Lepisosteus oculatus: one gene and its partner. The protein of the gene in region 1 interacts with the protein of each later gene in a pairwise test. Links are inferred from orthologs where the notes say so. Each region holds a gene or a part of one and is shown on either strand. Other genes may lie near its edges.

Evidence for each region.
Region 2: the proteins of microtubule-associated tumor suppressor candidate 2-like (region 1) and coiled-coil domain-containing protein 60 interact in binary tests that used the Homo sapiens proteins (3 or more experiments, as listed by UniProt). The two-hybrid records come from large-scale screens. The link is inferred for Lepisosteus oculatus from reciprocal best matches to the Homo sapiens genes MTUS2 and CCDC60.

What each region holds. Positions count from the first base shown.
Region 1 is NC_090700.1:17,556,046-17,563,275, forward strand, and holds the start of microtubule-associated tumor suppressor candidate 2-like, read right to left. Parts: upstream 3,017-7,230; 5' UTR 2,835-3,016; intron 1,871-2,834; exon of another isoform or gene 1,695-1,870; intron 1-1,694. UniProt on the Homo sapiens protein: Binds microtubules. Together with MAPRE1 may target the microtubule depolymerase KIF2C to the plus-end of microtubules. May regulate the dynamics of microtubules at their growing distal tip.
Region 2 is NC_090717.1:4,185,162-4,193,008, forward strand, and holds the start of coiled-coil domain-containing protein 60, read right to left. Parts: upstream 3,024-7,847; 5' UTR 2,641-3,023; coding exon 2,350-2,640; intron 1-2,349. Other genes in the region: heat shock protein beta-1, read left to right, coding at 6,849-7,236, 7,597-7,660.

The sequences.
Region 1 (7,230 bases):
CCATTGGGAACTGTGATCATGTTCTGATTTCTAAAAAAAACAGAGCGGATACAAAAATAAAAAACAGTGAAGATCAGATGGGATGGGCATCACCACTATATAGCACTCTGGCCCATTTTACAGGTATTAGGTGGTGCAAGCGATTGTGCAAATGCAGCGCAGAGGGCAGAGTGGTGGCACTGTGGTTAAGGATCTGCACCTGAGGCTGGAAGATTGCTGGTTCAAATCCCGCAGCCGGCAGAGGAATCCTACTTTGTTGGGCCCCTGACCAAGGCCCTTGATCCCAACTACCCCAGGTGTCATGGCTGACCCTGCACTCTGACCCCAGGCTTCTCTCTCCCTCTCTGTAATCCTCATAGAGAGCAGGCTGGGGTATGCAAAAAGACAAATTCCTAATGCAAGAAATTGTATAGGGCTTAATAAAGTGATCTGGGTCAGATAAAACAATTATTTTTCACAGACCTGAAGAACAAAAATCAAACCCTCAACTCAATGAAAAAAAACAAACAAACAAACAAACAAATACATTGTGGTAATATAACCCTGTTTTTAATTTCACCAATGCTATATACTGCAAAAAGATACTTTTACATGTACTGAGTTGTCCTCAATTAACACTCTACACTTTGCCAAAGAATTAAAGTAATTATCTAAAAGATAGACCAATAAACAGTATTAAAAGCTCCTGTACTGCTCTGAAGACTGAAATTTACATTTAACACAAAAAATATTACTTTCAAGAAACACCTTAAAATTGTATAAATTATGTATTACAGCTAATATGAACATTTAATAATAATAATTTTTGCTTACACTTATATACTGTACCGCTTTTCTGGACACTCCACTCAAGGCGCTTTACAGGTAATGGGGACTCCCCTCCACCACCACCAATGTGCAGCACCCACCTGGATGATATTTAAACTAATGCCCTTGTTAAGAGAAAAGGTCTTGCACAAGCTGTATGAAACCTCCTCCTTGAGAAACATTTAAGGTGAAAACTAAAAGATAATGTGAGGTATTTTTGTCTTAACTGACTTTAGTCCGCATCAGCATAAAATAAGAAATGCATTCTCAGCTTAAATGGGAAATGAGACAATCCTGCTCAGATACAGGCTACAGTAAGTCCAAAATTACAGTAAACATACACAGACTACTTTAAGTCAAGACTTTGACCAACTTCAAATATTTTCAATGACAGTTTAAAATTGAATAAAAGCTTGTAGGTTTTGTTAACCAAAAAGTAACCATCAGGCACTCAACGTGATATTGCGGATGGAAGGTAAAAACAAAGCGGTTAATTTAAGATGCTGTTTTAAATACATTGATTATTCTAAACAATTTCAGTTTCACATAGGCACAATTGAAATGAACCGATTTCTCTGAAATAAGTATGAGACAGAAAAATACATAGGAACCAAAATAGAGGAAGTCTTTAAAATGGTGCCTGGTTGCTAAATCCGGTTTTCTTTTTTTAGGAAGAATCACAGCGGCCCAATGTGTATAGCCTTTGCGAAAAGAGTTTTTAAATTTTTCACTAATGAATTACATTCCACATTTATTGTCCAAAAGTCATCATTACCGTTGTATTATTTATGGAACTAATATTGAGTGACAGCTGTTTAACGCTACCTTCAAGATGTACTGAAGCTCCTGAGCCCCAATAATGAGCAAGGCTCGCTTAATTCCTCTACCTGAATGGAGTTTCAAGCTGTATCATTTCTTCTCTTCCCTGGCGCACTTAATGTCTAACCCACATTTTCAATTTAAACACCATCGCATTCAGGAAGCAATTTAAAGGTTTTTGTTTTGTTTAATACTGTTTGCCCTGGACAGTTTGTAAACTATTATAAAGACATTGTTATAAAACTGAAGAGTTTATAATACAAAGGAAACCACTGCAAAACAATCTACAACCCGTAGTTCCGACGACTGAGAGAACAAGCTTAAAATAGCTCTGCAGTTAATATAGTATTGCAGCAAATTCCTCCTTATGTTTACTGTTACACAACACTGTCACTGGCGCACCAAGAGCACATTTTCTGACCATATAGAGCACTGCGTTGAGAGGTGAAGAACAGCAGCACACTTAACGTCAGGCGCAAAATGTGTACAGCATGACTGCATAATTAAACTCTAACAACAAAAACAACATAGTACAGAGCACTGTATGTGTGTTTATGGAGAGGAAAACCAATGTAGCCCACAAATTACATGCAAATGTGTTATACGTTTATAATTGCACTCATTTCTGGACCTTTCACTTCGTCTCAAAGACCACGCTTGCAGATTCGCTCACACTCTCAGGTATCACTGCAAAGACGTAAATAGATCAAGCTTACGTGGTCAATACCAAAGGTGTCGCTTCCAGAGATCTTACAGTTAGCTCAGCAAAGGGCTTTTACTTGTGGCACCGACTACAGTCAGTGTGTTTTATTTAAAAACCACGTTTAATTTTTTTAACACTTTCCTCGACGTGAAGCCTTTTTGTCCTGTAAAAAAGCTCTAATTGTTGTGCGCCAGCGTCACAACTAGTTTTAATCTAATTGAACTGAAAATACGCCCACCAAATACAGCATACACAAAAACAGTATATAAGGAAGTTGCCATAAACACATTTGTTCCTTTGAATGTCAGCGAAGGCAATTTTGTCACCGGACAGCACAGCAGTTGCATTCTTCATCTAGGTGGGGTGCTATTTTTTTTTTTTGCAATGCAGGCAAAAATATAACGTAGCAAGTCGATGCTGAATATAATAACCTTTTCCATACACAGATGCACCGCCTGTACCTCTGCTTTGTGCATCTTCTCGCCCGGAAACTAACAGTGCATACCTGTTATTTTGATTCCGTTTTCCCGTGGAAATGCTGAGCATCCGCCTCCTCGTGCTTTACCAGGTACTAACCACCATCCTGAACGCAACGAAGAAAACGGTTGGGGGTGAGATAGACGGTGCAGAATGTTTCTCTCCTCTCCTCTCCTCCTGAAGCAATCTGGATCTTTTCCCCTGGAGAACCCATGCTTTTCAGAAAGCCGAAGGCTCCACCTGCTGGCAAAGAACAGGAAGGTGCAACATCCATAGGTGCACAACAGCGTCAGAGAGGTTGAGAAGAATTTTTTTATCGGCTAAAGTTAGAAAATATAAAAGACGTTTTTTTTTTCTTTTTTTAAGGGAGTTCTAACTACAGTTCAACAATCGTGATTTGTTCTTGGTCTTTGTACGAAGACGAAGGTTTCTTATATCCATTGGTTTTGTGTTTGATTAGTTTGGTTGTCTTGTGAGATGAAATTATCAACTATTTTAGTTCTTTTAGATTGGTTATTTGCGATTTAATTACTTGCGAGATGGCTTTAATCGTGAATGGTGCCTTTATACAATGAGAAAAAAAACTGACTGCAATACTAGTGCTTCGGCACAAATCTGAACAAGTAAAATACATACTCTATAATAGAGATTTCTAACATGGATCTTGGTCCCAATTCAGCACCTTTTGTAGGTCACCATTACTTTGTGTCTTAATATATGAAACGATTTCATTGTGATCAAACAGGTGACTTGTCAAAGTAAGTAATTTACAGATCATTTAAGACTAAAGTCTAAGTACTCTCTAGCCTTCAAGGACCTTAGATTGTATTAATTCAACAGATTACCTGCTTTCATTCATCAAATGTTTACAGGTGTTTTCAGCCTTTTCAACCAGGTGAAAGATAAGACTAGGTCACAGACCCCTGGTTTAACTGAATGTGTGGAGCTGTACAAAAATATAAATATAATGTCTCAGTATCTGGGGCACTTAGTACATCAGAGTTCTCAGTCCTGATTCTGGGGGAGTGCTGTCTTCTGTTTTTTTTTCTCCGTAATCTTAATGGTAAACTTATTTATTCCAAATGTAGGTGTTTTTATTTTATTGTACCTCATAAAGGCTTATGGTTCAGAATTGATATCAACCCTGTGCCAACCCCTAAGACTCAGAATTCCCCTCATTCTGGTGCATTAGCCAAAATGTAACCAATGGGATTTAAGCCAAAGGAAAATGAAATACTTGCTATGGGAATGTCTGATATATTACCATTCCCATCTGGCTGTTCATTATAACATGACTGTCAGTTAAGAGCTTTTTAACCTAAATAAGTGAACAAATTCATAATTAGCATGTTGAAGAGAGACTATATGAAATTCTGTATGCCAAAGTTGTTGAAAATAATACAGTACATTAACGGGATTTTTTTTAAACTGACGAGCGTGGAAAAGGCGTAAATAAGCAAGCAGATCAATTAGCACCAGTGAGTAAAGGCCTAGTTGGAGCAATAACCACCAGATGCTGTTGTCCCTTAGGATCAGCATGGGGAACCACTGCTCTAAAGTAACAATACAGACAAATTATCTTATTTGAAAGATGTACGTTCCTCAGTCTCTAAAATGACTCACACGAGTAATATAGCAGTATAAGTGGAGCGAGCTTTGCTGATAGGGAAAAAAAGACAACCAAGTGCTTTTGAAATTCTTGACACAAGGAATACAAGGCTGTGGACAACAAATTGGAGAATAACTGTACTATACAACTACTGCCCACCATACCATGACCAGTATGTTGTCACACACCCTAGGGATGTGTGCTTAGTCCATTGCTCTACTCCCTCTACACCCACGACTGTAAGGACAAACATAACACCAACTCTATCTCATCAAGTTTGCCGATGACATCACAGTTGTAGGTCTGATCACAGACAATGATGAGAGGGCCTACAGGGAGGAGGTCAATCTCCTTATAACGTGGTGTGAAGACAACAACCTCACCCTCAAGGTCAGCAAAACCAAGGAGTGGAAAGGGTCAATAACTTCAAATTCCTTGGCGTCCATATCACTGAGGACCTCACATGGTCTCTCAACGCCACTTGTCTGATCAAGAAAGCACAACAGCGCCTGTACTTCCTAAGATGGTTGAAGAAGCCCTAAGATATGTCCCCAGATCCTCACTAACTTTTACAGATGCACTACAGAAAGCACACTGACAGGTTGCATCACTGTGTGGTATGGCAACTGCAGTATTGCTGACCGCAAATCCCTACAGCAGGTGGTGAAAACTGCCCAATGCATCGCTGGGGTTGCCCTCCCATCCATCCAGGACATTTATGACAGATGGTGCTTGAGGAAAGCTCTAAGCATCATCAAAGACCCCACACACCCCAGCTACAGACTGTCTGACCCTCTAACATCTGGAAAACGGTACCGGAGCATTCAGGCCTGGATTACCAGACTCACAGTTTTTACCCCCGCACTATCAAACTATTAAACTCCCAGCCACCCTCACCTACGATCTGAACCCTCACAGTGCCTTCTCTCTTTGTCGGATCTCAAACACACATTGAAATCTACCTCTACCTCACATGTCAAGAAGTTCACTCCCCATAATTTTCTATCCTTTATTTTGTTCTGTTGATGTATGATTTTGCACAACTGATGTTGTTTTTCACATTACCTGTTTCCTGTTGTTGTGTTGCACATTGCCTTTTGTCTCTGTCTTTCTTTTCTTATTCAATTGTATTGTTGTTTTTTTGTGCTACTTACCGTCTGAGAGCTAGCTAATTAGCATTTCATTATACCATATACCTGTGTATCAGTATAATGACAACAATCTTGAACTTGAACTTGATTTTGGACCAGTTGTAGACAGCGAGAGGCAATGGACTGGACCTGAGGCCTTGGCAGTATGGTGTCCTTGCCACCTCTGCCAGATAAGCAGTGTATGCTGCTGAAAGTGCCTGAGTGTGGTTAAGATGCCCCATCGACAAGGACACACAAAACTCCTTGTGTAGCACGCTCTCCAGTCTCCACTGCTGGCTCAGACACACCGAGGGCTGAGATGGTAGGACATCCACTCGCTCCACCAACAGTTTCTTAACAGGGCCTTTGTTGTCCGCATTGGGACAGTGTAAAGATGTTCTACTACTTGACACAAGAAGGGCGTGCTTTGTCCTCTTCAAGGAGGTGCATACAGGATGTCATCCAAAACATCTGCATGAAAGGGCCAGGGTCAAGCATGGAGAATGTCCAGTTTGGCAAAGGTAAGTGGAAGTTTCTGCAGAGCCTCAAGCCAAGGCAAGTGAATAGTGGCAGCTTGGAAGCTTTCCTCCAAGGAGCATTGCCTGTGAGGTTTTTAAAGACAAGTGGATCAAAGGCAGGCAGGTGGGAGGAAACTGCTCACACTTTCTCATCCTCCCTTGTGTGAGGTTGCTGGGTTCATAGCTGTAGGCTGAGACATTAAAAAACAACAAATGACAATTCCAAAAAAATCACGTGCGTATAACAAAAAAAATTGGAAAGATTACAAAATCCCACTCCCACAAGACAGAGGTTTGAAATGTGAATACCAAACACTTTTCATTTCAAGGCTTATTGTATGTTTGACCAACTGGATGAAAAGCAAGTTCTCGCCTGTGTCTCTAGCACAGCAATAACACTGATATTTCCAGATGGCACTCTGAAGGGGTCTTGGGCCCCAGCTGTGTGGGGGGAAATTAGAAATGCGTCCGCAATTAGGACATCAATTTTTTTTAAAAAGCATACATTTTCATTGCAACTCACTGTTAATGTAGTACAGTTCATCCCTTACAAATCTCAAACAGTTTATGAGAACAGCGAACTTAAAATAGACTCCTTTGGATCTGTAGACGCTGAGATTTGTTCCAGGGTTAAAAGGTGAGACGTGACAGTGTAACCTTCTGCACCCATTAGTGTCAGTCGTACTAAGTCTTTTCTTTGTTGTAGCCATGCATCATGATTTATTATACACCTCCATATTTCAGAGTACTTTTTTATTACAGAATTATATTTAATTTACGTATCAAATCAGAGATTGTATGAATTACATACTAAAAGTAGAAATAAAACAAAACAAAAAAAACAAACTAATTAACATATGAAATTGAATAACATATGAATAGTTTTATATACTTAGCAGACTCCTACTAATATTGTCCTAGTCCAAAGTGTCAAACAAAGGAGGCTTTATATCTTAAATTGGTTTTAATTTAATAGCTCTCAACTTACCTGTACAACAGAAAAGTTGCTCATTAAAATAATTTGGGGGGATAAATTAAAGGAAAGGGTAAATTCATTCTAATATTTTAGTTATTTCCTTCCAAAATCTTTAAAACCTTAGGATATGTAAAAAACATGTGAGAAAAATTACGTTGTATTACCACATCTCCAGTAATTGTATTTTTGTA
Region 2 (7,847 bases), on another chromosome or scaffold:
TAATCATTTTAAAATCTCCTGTGTACACATGACTAACTTTTTTCTTCTTTCTAGGGGAACATTAATGGATACTGATTATACTTTTGAAAATGATGTCACTACTATATTGTGAGGGGCAAGCAACATCCCCCAGTTCTGCTGCCAGTTTAATCATAGAGCTTGTAATGATTGCAGTCCTGCTGTTACACCTTGTACCTATAGAAGGTAGCAGGGAATGTCTTATTCCTTGAAAGCCTCAGCTTTCATTTTTACGCTGACGATACTCAAATATACATCCATACCAAACCCGACACTGACGTGGCTGTCTCTATCCTATCTAATTGCATCTCTGACATAAAAATTTGGATGACTCAAAACTTCCTTCATCTTAACTGTGACAAGACTGAAGTCATGCTTATTGGTACCCCCCATCAACTTCGAAAAGCCAGTCCTGTAACCCTGTCTGTAGATGGCTCTGTACTTGAGCTTCAATCAAAATTGAAAAACCTTGGGGTTATATTCGATTCTGGCTTAACATTCGACCCACATGTACAGCATACTGTCAAAACATCTTTTTTTCACCTTAGAAATATCGCAAGACTACGCCCTATGCTATCATTAACTGTGGCTGAAAAGCTGATCAACATATTTGTATTCTCTCGAATTGACTACTGCAATGCTCTGCTCCCTGGTGTATCTAAATCTACTCTGAACAAGCTGCAGTATGTCCAAAATTCAGCAGCCAGAATTCTGACCAGGTCTAGTACAAGTGTTCACATTACTCCTATCCTGGAGTCCTTGCACTGGCTTCCGGTCAAATTCCGCGTAGACTTTAAAATCCTCATGCTCACCTACAAGGCTTTACATGGCTTGGCACCTCAATACCTGTCTGAACTTTTATCGCCCTACTCCCCACCTCGCAACCTCCGCTCTTCAATTTCTGCCCTCCTTACTGTCCCCCAAGCCCGTCTACATTGTATGGGCGACAGGGCCTTCTCCTGCTATGCCCCCAAGCTCTGGAACTCTTTACCCAAGGATATTAGAGAGTCACCTTCTCTAAACTCCTTCAAATCCAGACTCAAAACTTTCTTCTTCAGTAAAGCCTTTACTTAACTGGTTCCATTCTTCAGCCCTCTGCTCTTCTTAATACCATCTTCCACGGTCTCCTCTATTGTTATTGTTGTATTGTTGTAATTATAATTATGTCCTGTCTTGTGAAATTTTCTTATTTATTGTTGTAGTCTTCTTATTTATTGTTATTGTCATCCTGTAAAGCGCTTTGAGAAGCCACCTTTAAAGGCGCTATATAAAATAAAGTTTATTATTATTATTATTATTATGCCAAAGTCTGAATGGGATTTTATATTTCAACACATTGCTGTTTGTAAAAACAATACACCCTGTCCCACAGGTGGGTAAAAAATACAGTATTCTTCACTTGACTTTAGGCAATTGAGTAAAAGAATCAGGCTCCAGCCGTGTTGTTGTGCTAGTAGTCGAGGACATCTGCACGTGCCTAATAAAACCAAAAGCAATACTTTGGGAGAGAGAAGGAAACATCCTAAGCATTGTAGTGCCATACAGCAATAACAAAGTGGGCTCTAGAATGAATGAAGGACTGCGACCTGTGAACTGACATTCCCTCCCGTCTCCTGTCTGATAGGAGCAAGGCCACCTGATATAGCCTCACATTTAACACAAGTGGAGGGTCGAAACTCACACTGCTATCTGCATTCTTTCTGACCTCAGAGGCCAGCCAGGGAAATCCAAATCTATACAATTACTTAAACTATTCAAGGGTGACATGAGATGCTTAGAAAAAGTTTCTTTTGACAAGCCTATCCCTTTAGTGTGTCCTACAATTTTTTTTCTGGCTTCATGAAACAAACTCAAGAACAACACGAAAGGTTGAGCTACACATATCTGCCAAAGACAGATTCGTTAAAGATTAAACACATAGGTCAAATATAAACGAAAACAATGTAGTAAGATGAACATACTGTAGAATATAAAAGTGGTTTCTTCTAATGTTCTATGTTTTCTATCCTAAATTACCAAAAAAGCTGAATGTTACTAGGAGAAAACACTAATTTAAGAGGGATAATGTAATAGTTGAGCTGCGTTTTGGCATGCTTACATAATAACATCAAAAATAAATTAAAAAAACACAACTAAGACATTATTTGAAGTCGTATAAAGCAAACGGACCAATCTGATTGAATTAATAATTATGTATCCCATTTTGAAGGTGAATTGGTCCATTTCCCTATTCAGTTCATTGACATACTATGAAGACTACATCATTACTATTTAATAGTTCAAGTAAGACGTGAAGAAGCAATGCATTTCTTAGTTTACAACAGAAATCACCTGTTCAGGTTGTCCTAAAGAATGCAGAATCAGCCTCTTAGGCTCCAGGACAAGGGGTTCTCCAATCTCCTCATACGGCCGCCAATTTACTGCCCTGTAGCCCTGGCGAGTCAGTTGCTTCTGTCTCCGACGGTAATTCTCCCTGAAAACTTGCTCCCGATTCGGTTCGCAGGGGTTGAACACGGTGCTACTACGAGCTTGGAGTTTTATCCCCGCGGGAGGACTTATGGGAAGTGGTTTGATAATTACGAAGTTGCGTGGGTCCAGACTTTTACTTGAGCACACAGGCATAGCTGCACATTACACCCCGCCTGCTGATGTTATGTCATGAGAGTTTTTAATGCGCATGAAAAAAAAAACTAAACTCCAGAATACGCACAGAACAAGAGCTATTGTAGTGGTCTTCCTATTCCATCTTAGTTTTCTTTTTTTTCGGTATGGTGGTTCTTAGAATACAAAACGCATAATTCAGCGAAGTAATCCGTCTCGTCTCGGTCTTCTACAGTCACGCAGACACTGGCTAGTGTCTTCATTTGTTTCCCTTAGTTACAGTGCAAACAAAAGAGAGGAATAATTTAAGAGAGCAAGGATTCCTGAAAAGTGCGAACCAACCCGTCATAAATACGTGTCTGTCGGAAGGCTCGTCTTTAAATAGAGAAGTTTTACTCCGGGCCTAATTCAATACTTGTTTCGGGAATCTTTTCCAAGTTTGTATTCTGTGCAGCCATTGTGCGTTGTCTGATTATAAATTAGCTTCTCTGAAACTGAAAGTTAATTGGTTACTGCGGTTATCCAGACGTTTTAATTAAAACGGCACATAAATTTAAGTAGAACTAATAGATCTCGCAGTTAGTATTCTAATTAGTGTCAGTTAACTAATTAGTGTCTCACCGCACCAGCCCATCAATTTCACCTGTTTACAGGACAAATGTTTTATTACTACATGGTTTATAACTAAACGTTTGACAAACAGAAGCAAGAAAAATAAAATATATTTTAAAGAATATTAGAAAATTTAAAATAATTAAAAACAGACATTTATTAATCTCAAGGAAATTACCGTGTGCCCATATACTGTGTAAATTCTTCTACTGCAACATGTCTGATCGCCATCGAGATATTCACTGTTTGGGGAACTGGAATTTATTATTGAATACGTACTGTATAAGGATACGTTCTTAAAATCTCTTTTTAAAATGGCTTGTTCTTAAGCTCTCAACTGACGAACAGATATGTATGGGGTGCAATGTCAGTTTTATTTATTTTAATTAGGATCCAGGAGTTTCCAGAATAATCACATTGCTAGGTGATTCTTACATTAGACTGTGATGCTGTAGGTTCTGTAGCCGGAGCCACACAATTGAACACCAGCTGCTAGTTCCAAAGGCAACTATGTTATCTCATCACCAAAATACCTACCTGGCAAGTGGGGAATGCACTTCTTTGTACTATCTGCAGTCAACAGAGACATCCAGCAGGTGGTGATCACATTGGGGTATTCAGTCTCCCCAGATGTCCACGATTACAACAATGCACCACAGTGCATACCCATAGTGGTAGGCATGTTTCAATATTGTTCATCAGACAACACCAGTGAAATGCTACTTAAGACAAGCCCCTGCCCTCAGACATCAGTGTTGTATAAAGCAGCTGTTGTCATCAGACATGTAATTTATACAAGGACCAGTAAAGCTGCTGCAATCTTACAGCAAAAAAAACTCATTCAGACCTACAGTAGCAATGCCTCAACCTTCAGGGCGAAGAGATAAAACAGATCTCACTTTAAAACCTCCTACTACACTGTATATATTACAGTATGTATTGCAAAAGGACTTATGTTACAGCTTCTGTTATTCAACCCTGAATGAGTACAAGAACAAGACTCAAGCCTTCTTTGGTCAGAGTAAGCTTTTTTTTTTGCTCAGGGATTTGAGCAAAAATCAAAGCTCACTTTATCAGCTCTTCAGGTCCATTTAGCAGCTCCTTTCCCCCTTTCTCTTTGAAGGCAGCTTTTTCTTTGCAGTGTCTTTTGCCCTCCCTCACTTGCCACTGTCCCTTTTGATGTCTGTGAGGAAAAGACAGGGCAGGGACCAGAGGACAAAAAGACAAACTGAATTCTGTGCACGGGGTGGGGGGAAGCTTTTTTTTAACAGCTTCAATGAGAAATGAAAACAAATATCAAAGTGTGAAGTTATCAGGTCACAAGGTAAAACACAAGTTTGTAAGTTATTGAAATAAATCTCTTTGGCTTCATGTATGCATTGCATGGTCTTGAAAGTGACATGTTTAAGTGTTTAATTTATAGATTGAATTTTGTACATTCATTTATTCTTTTATATCTGTGTGAGGAGCATGGACTACATAGATATTACTCATTACGAGCATCTCAACTACCTGTGGCTTAAAATTACTTCATTGACCCAAAGATAGAACATTGAAAATTGGGTTGAACCTTTTCTGGTAGACCCCTTCATGGAGTTTGATTTCAGAATAGTGTTCAATATGTTTTTTTATTTTATAGCATTAGAAACAAGAGTCTTTTACGTATTCGGTACAGTATCATTCTGCCCGTCACAAATGTTATTTCAGTATTTTTTTTTGCAGGCCAATTCATATTATTATTTCCCCAGGCCATTCATTTAAAAATGCCTTTTATTTGATTGCTTCTCATTACTGTTTCATAGAGAGATTTTATTAATTCCCTCTAGAATTTGTTAAGATGTGTCTAGTCCGTTAATAGCACTTGGAGGAACCAGTGACATAAACTAATTAGAAGTAAAGAAATGTAGGGAGTGGGGATGCTAAGCTCTTTCATTAGTGAAATTCCTCACAGCTCTCATAGGAGGACTTTATCAGTTTAATTAGGATTCAGGGTTTTTTTTGCCGCAAACACCTCCTGCTTTACTCCGTTGAAAGAAAATAACCTTTAGTTATTATCAGTAACACAAAGCTTTTGCCTTCCTTGTGCTATTTGTTATATTGTATGTTTGCAAAATGTACAGTATGTGGACAAAATACAAAATGTATATAGTTTTTTTTTCCTTCAATAAAAATAAGCCTTGAACACAGAAGCTGTTCTGGAATTTGTAAAGATACATTCCCCAGGTTTTACAGGAATGCTGTACTGTGTCAGGCTAAAACGACTGAACCTTTTTATTCCATGACAGAGAAGACTATTAGAGGACCTAATCGAAGTATGCAAAAGTCTATAAAAGGGATTGACAAAGCCAACTCAATGGATTCCTTCAGAAGCAACTAGAATGTGAAGCACAGAACTTCAGTGGAAGCATTTAAAATTGGGAACATCAGACACTTCTGTGTTCAAAGGGTTGTATTAATATTAAACACGAAGCTGATACCCTGGCTTCTTTCAAGAACCAGCTTTATGAGATCCTCAGATCAATGAACTACTAACTGGGCTAGATGGGCCTCCTCTACAACATAACCCCCTCTTATGTTCTATAAGCAAGTCATGCTTATGCTTCTTCTCTCTTTTCTCAATATTTAGTCAAATAATTTATCCTGAATGAGTTTTCAGACTTTGTCAACTACACTTCCAAATCTGTCTCCATGCTCCAAAAACAAATTTGGATTTTCCAATTTTAAGATCACCCCTCCATGACTGAACCCTGTAGCCTTGGTACAGTGTGGGAGTGAGCACACATGTGTTTACAATCTTTCCCGTTCTTGGTGTTGCTGTTACCTGCAAAAAACAGAGTATTACTAACCCTTGTGGGCATAGCCACTGGCTGCTGCTTATTTCTTGAGCAAAAATTTCACTAGTTCCCGAAGAACCCACAGTGCTTCTTAAGGCGGTCTAGCTCACTTTAAAATGAGACCCTGTATTTCTAACACACCAGTTAACTTCTAGTTGGTTTCCACCTTGATGAAAGTGCTCAGCAAAAAGGATCAACAAACTTCCATTGCAAAGCAGAAGACAGCGGTAACTATGGAGAAAGTAAAGAGAACCAGGATGTGACAAGATTGTTGAACACGCCAGTGAACACAACATCACCATTGTGCTTGCAGTCATCCTCCAACTATTTGCCATTTTCCCTCCAGAGCTATAAATACCATTAATTAGCTCCTTTCTTCCAAGCATGGTGTAACATGTAAGTAACAGCACCATCTCCCAGCCCATCACCTGATTCCTACTTTCACATCTCATAGGACAACTATTAGTGCTTAGTAAGTGTTAGAAAGGACAGTCAGGCTATATAAGGAGTGTGAGCGATGTGTTCTAACTGAGCAAAGCTTTTGTAAAAATCTGACCTTTCTAATTATTAATCAGCTCCCAAGTGCATACCTTAAAAATCTAGCTGTTTCTATTGTCTTGCAACTATTTTCTCATTAATTTTGACTTTCACGTTTTGAAGCCTTCATCTCTTGATAAAGCAAGAGAGCCAAAAAAGGCAGAAAGGGAAATACCAGCAGTTTGAAAGGCCCATTCTTTTTTCTTCGTATTTTTTTCGTGCCTTTTCGTGAACTCTTCGTAGGCTATGGCAGAGCACAGCAGACGTCTCCCCCGTCCCCTTTCCCAACGGGACCTGAACTGGGATCCTTTCCGGGACTGGGCACAGCCCAGTCGCATTTTTGACCAGGAATTTGGGTTGCCCCCTTTCCTGGAGGAAGGAGATCTGAACTGGATCGACTGGGCGAGGAGACGGCTGTCTTCTTCCTGGCCAGCTTACTTGCGCTCACCCCTGTTTGCACCTTATTCATTCTATGAGCAAGCGGCCAGCAGCCCAAATCTTCAGAGGCAACTGTGCGGAGGGGTATCTGAAGTCAGGACTGGACCCGACTGCTGGAAAATTAGCCTGGATGTCAACCATTTCTCTCCAGAAGAAATTACCATCAAAATAAAAGAGGGCTACCTGGAAATAGCAGGTATCACCAACAACCTAGTCACTTTTCTTTGCTGTACTCTCTCTTTTTTTACCTAAGGTTACATAGTTTTTGTTAACACTTGTCTGTAGTTTACATGTCAATTCCAAAGTTGAGCATATTATTTTAAAAAGAGGGAGTGTGTTATCTGCATTTAAAGGAATTTGTCTTTTGTGTTCTTAACTTTCAGTAGTATGGGAACTGCCCACATATTCCTTGAACACCAGTTTAAACATCAGGAGCTGACTACACAAAGGAGATTTCACAGCATTCACGCTAGCTTGGGGAGTCCAATTGCTTTACACAAAAAGTATTTGATTCTGAATTCTACTCAAAGATAATTAATTGATGACTAATTCCTAGGCAAACATGAAGAAAGACAGGATGAACATGGATTTGTCTCCAGATGTTTTACAAGGAAGTATAAGTAAGTTAAGATTACTATTTGTCATAAGTTTAATGCAATTTAAATACTGAGATTTAATACCAAATACATTTGTTTCTCAACATAAGCCTTTACACTTTACTTTACTTTGATTAGTAAGGTGTGCTTCAGTTTCATTGTGAAAATCATTTCTCAGGATAGCATTATTATTTATTTTTTCTTCAATAAC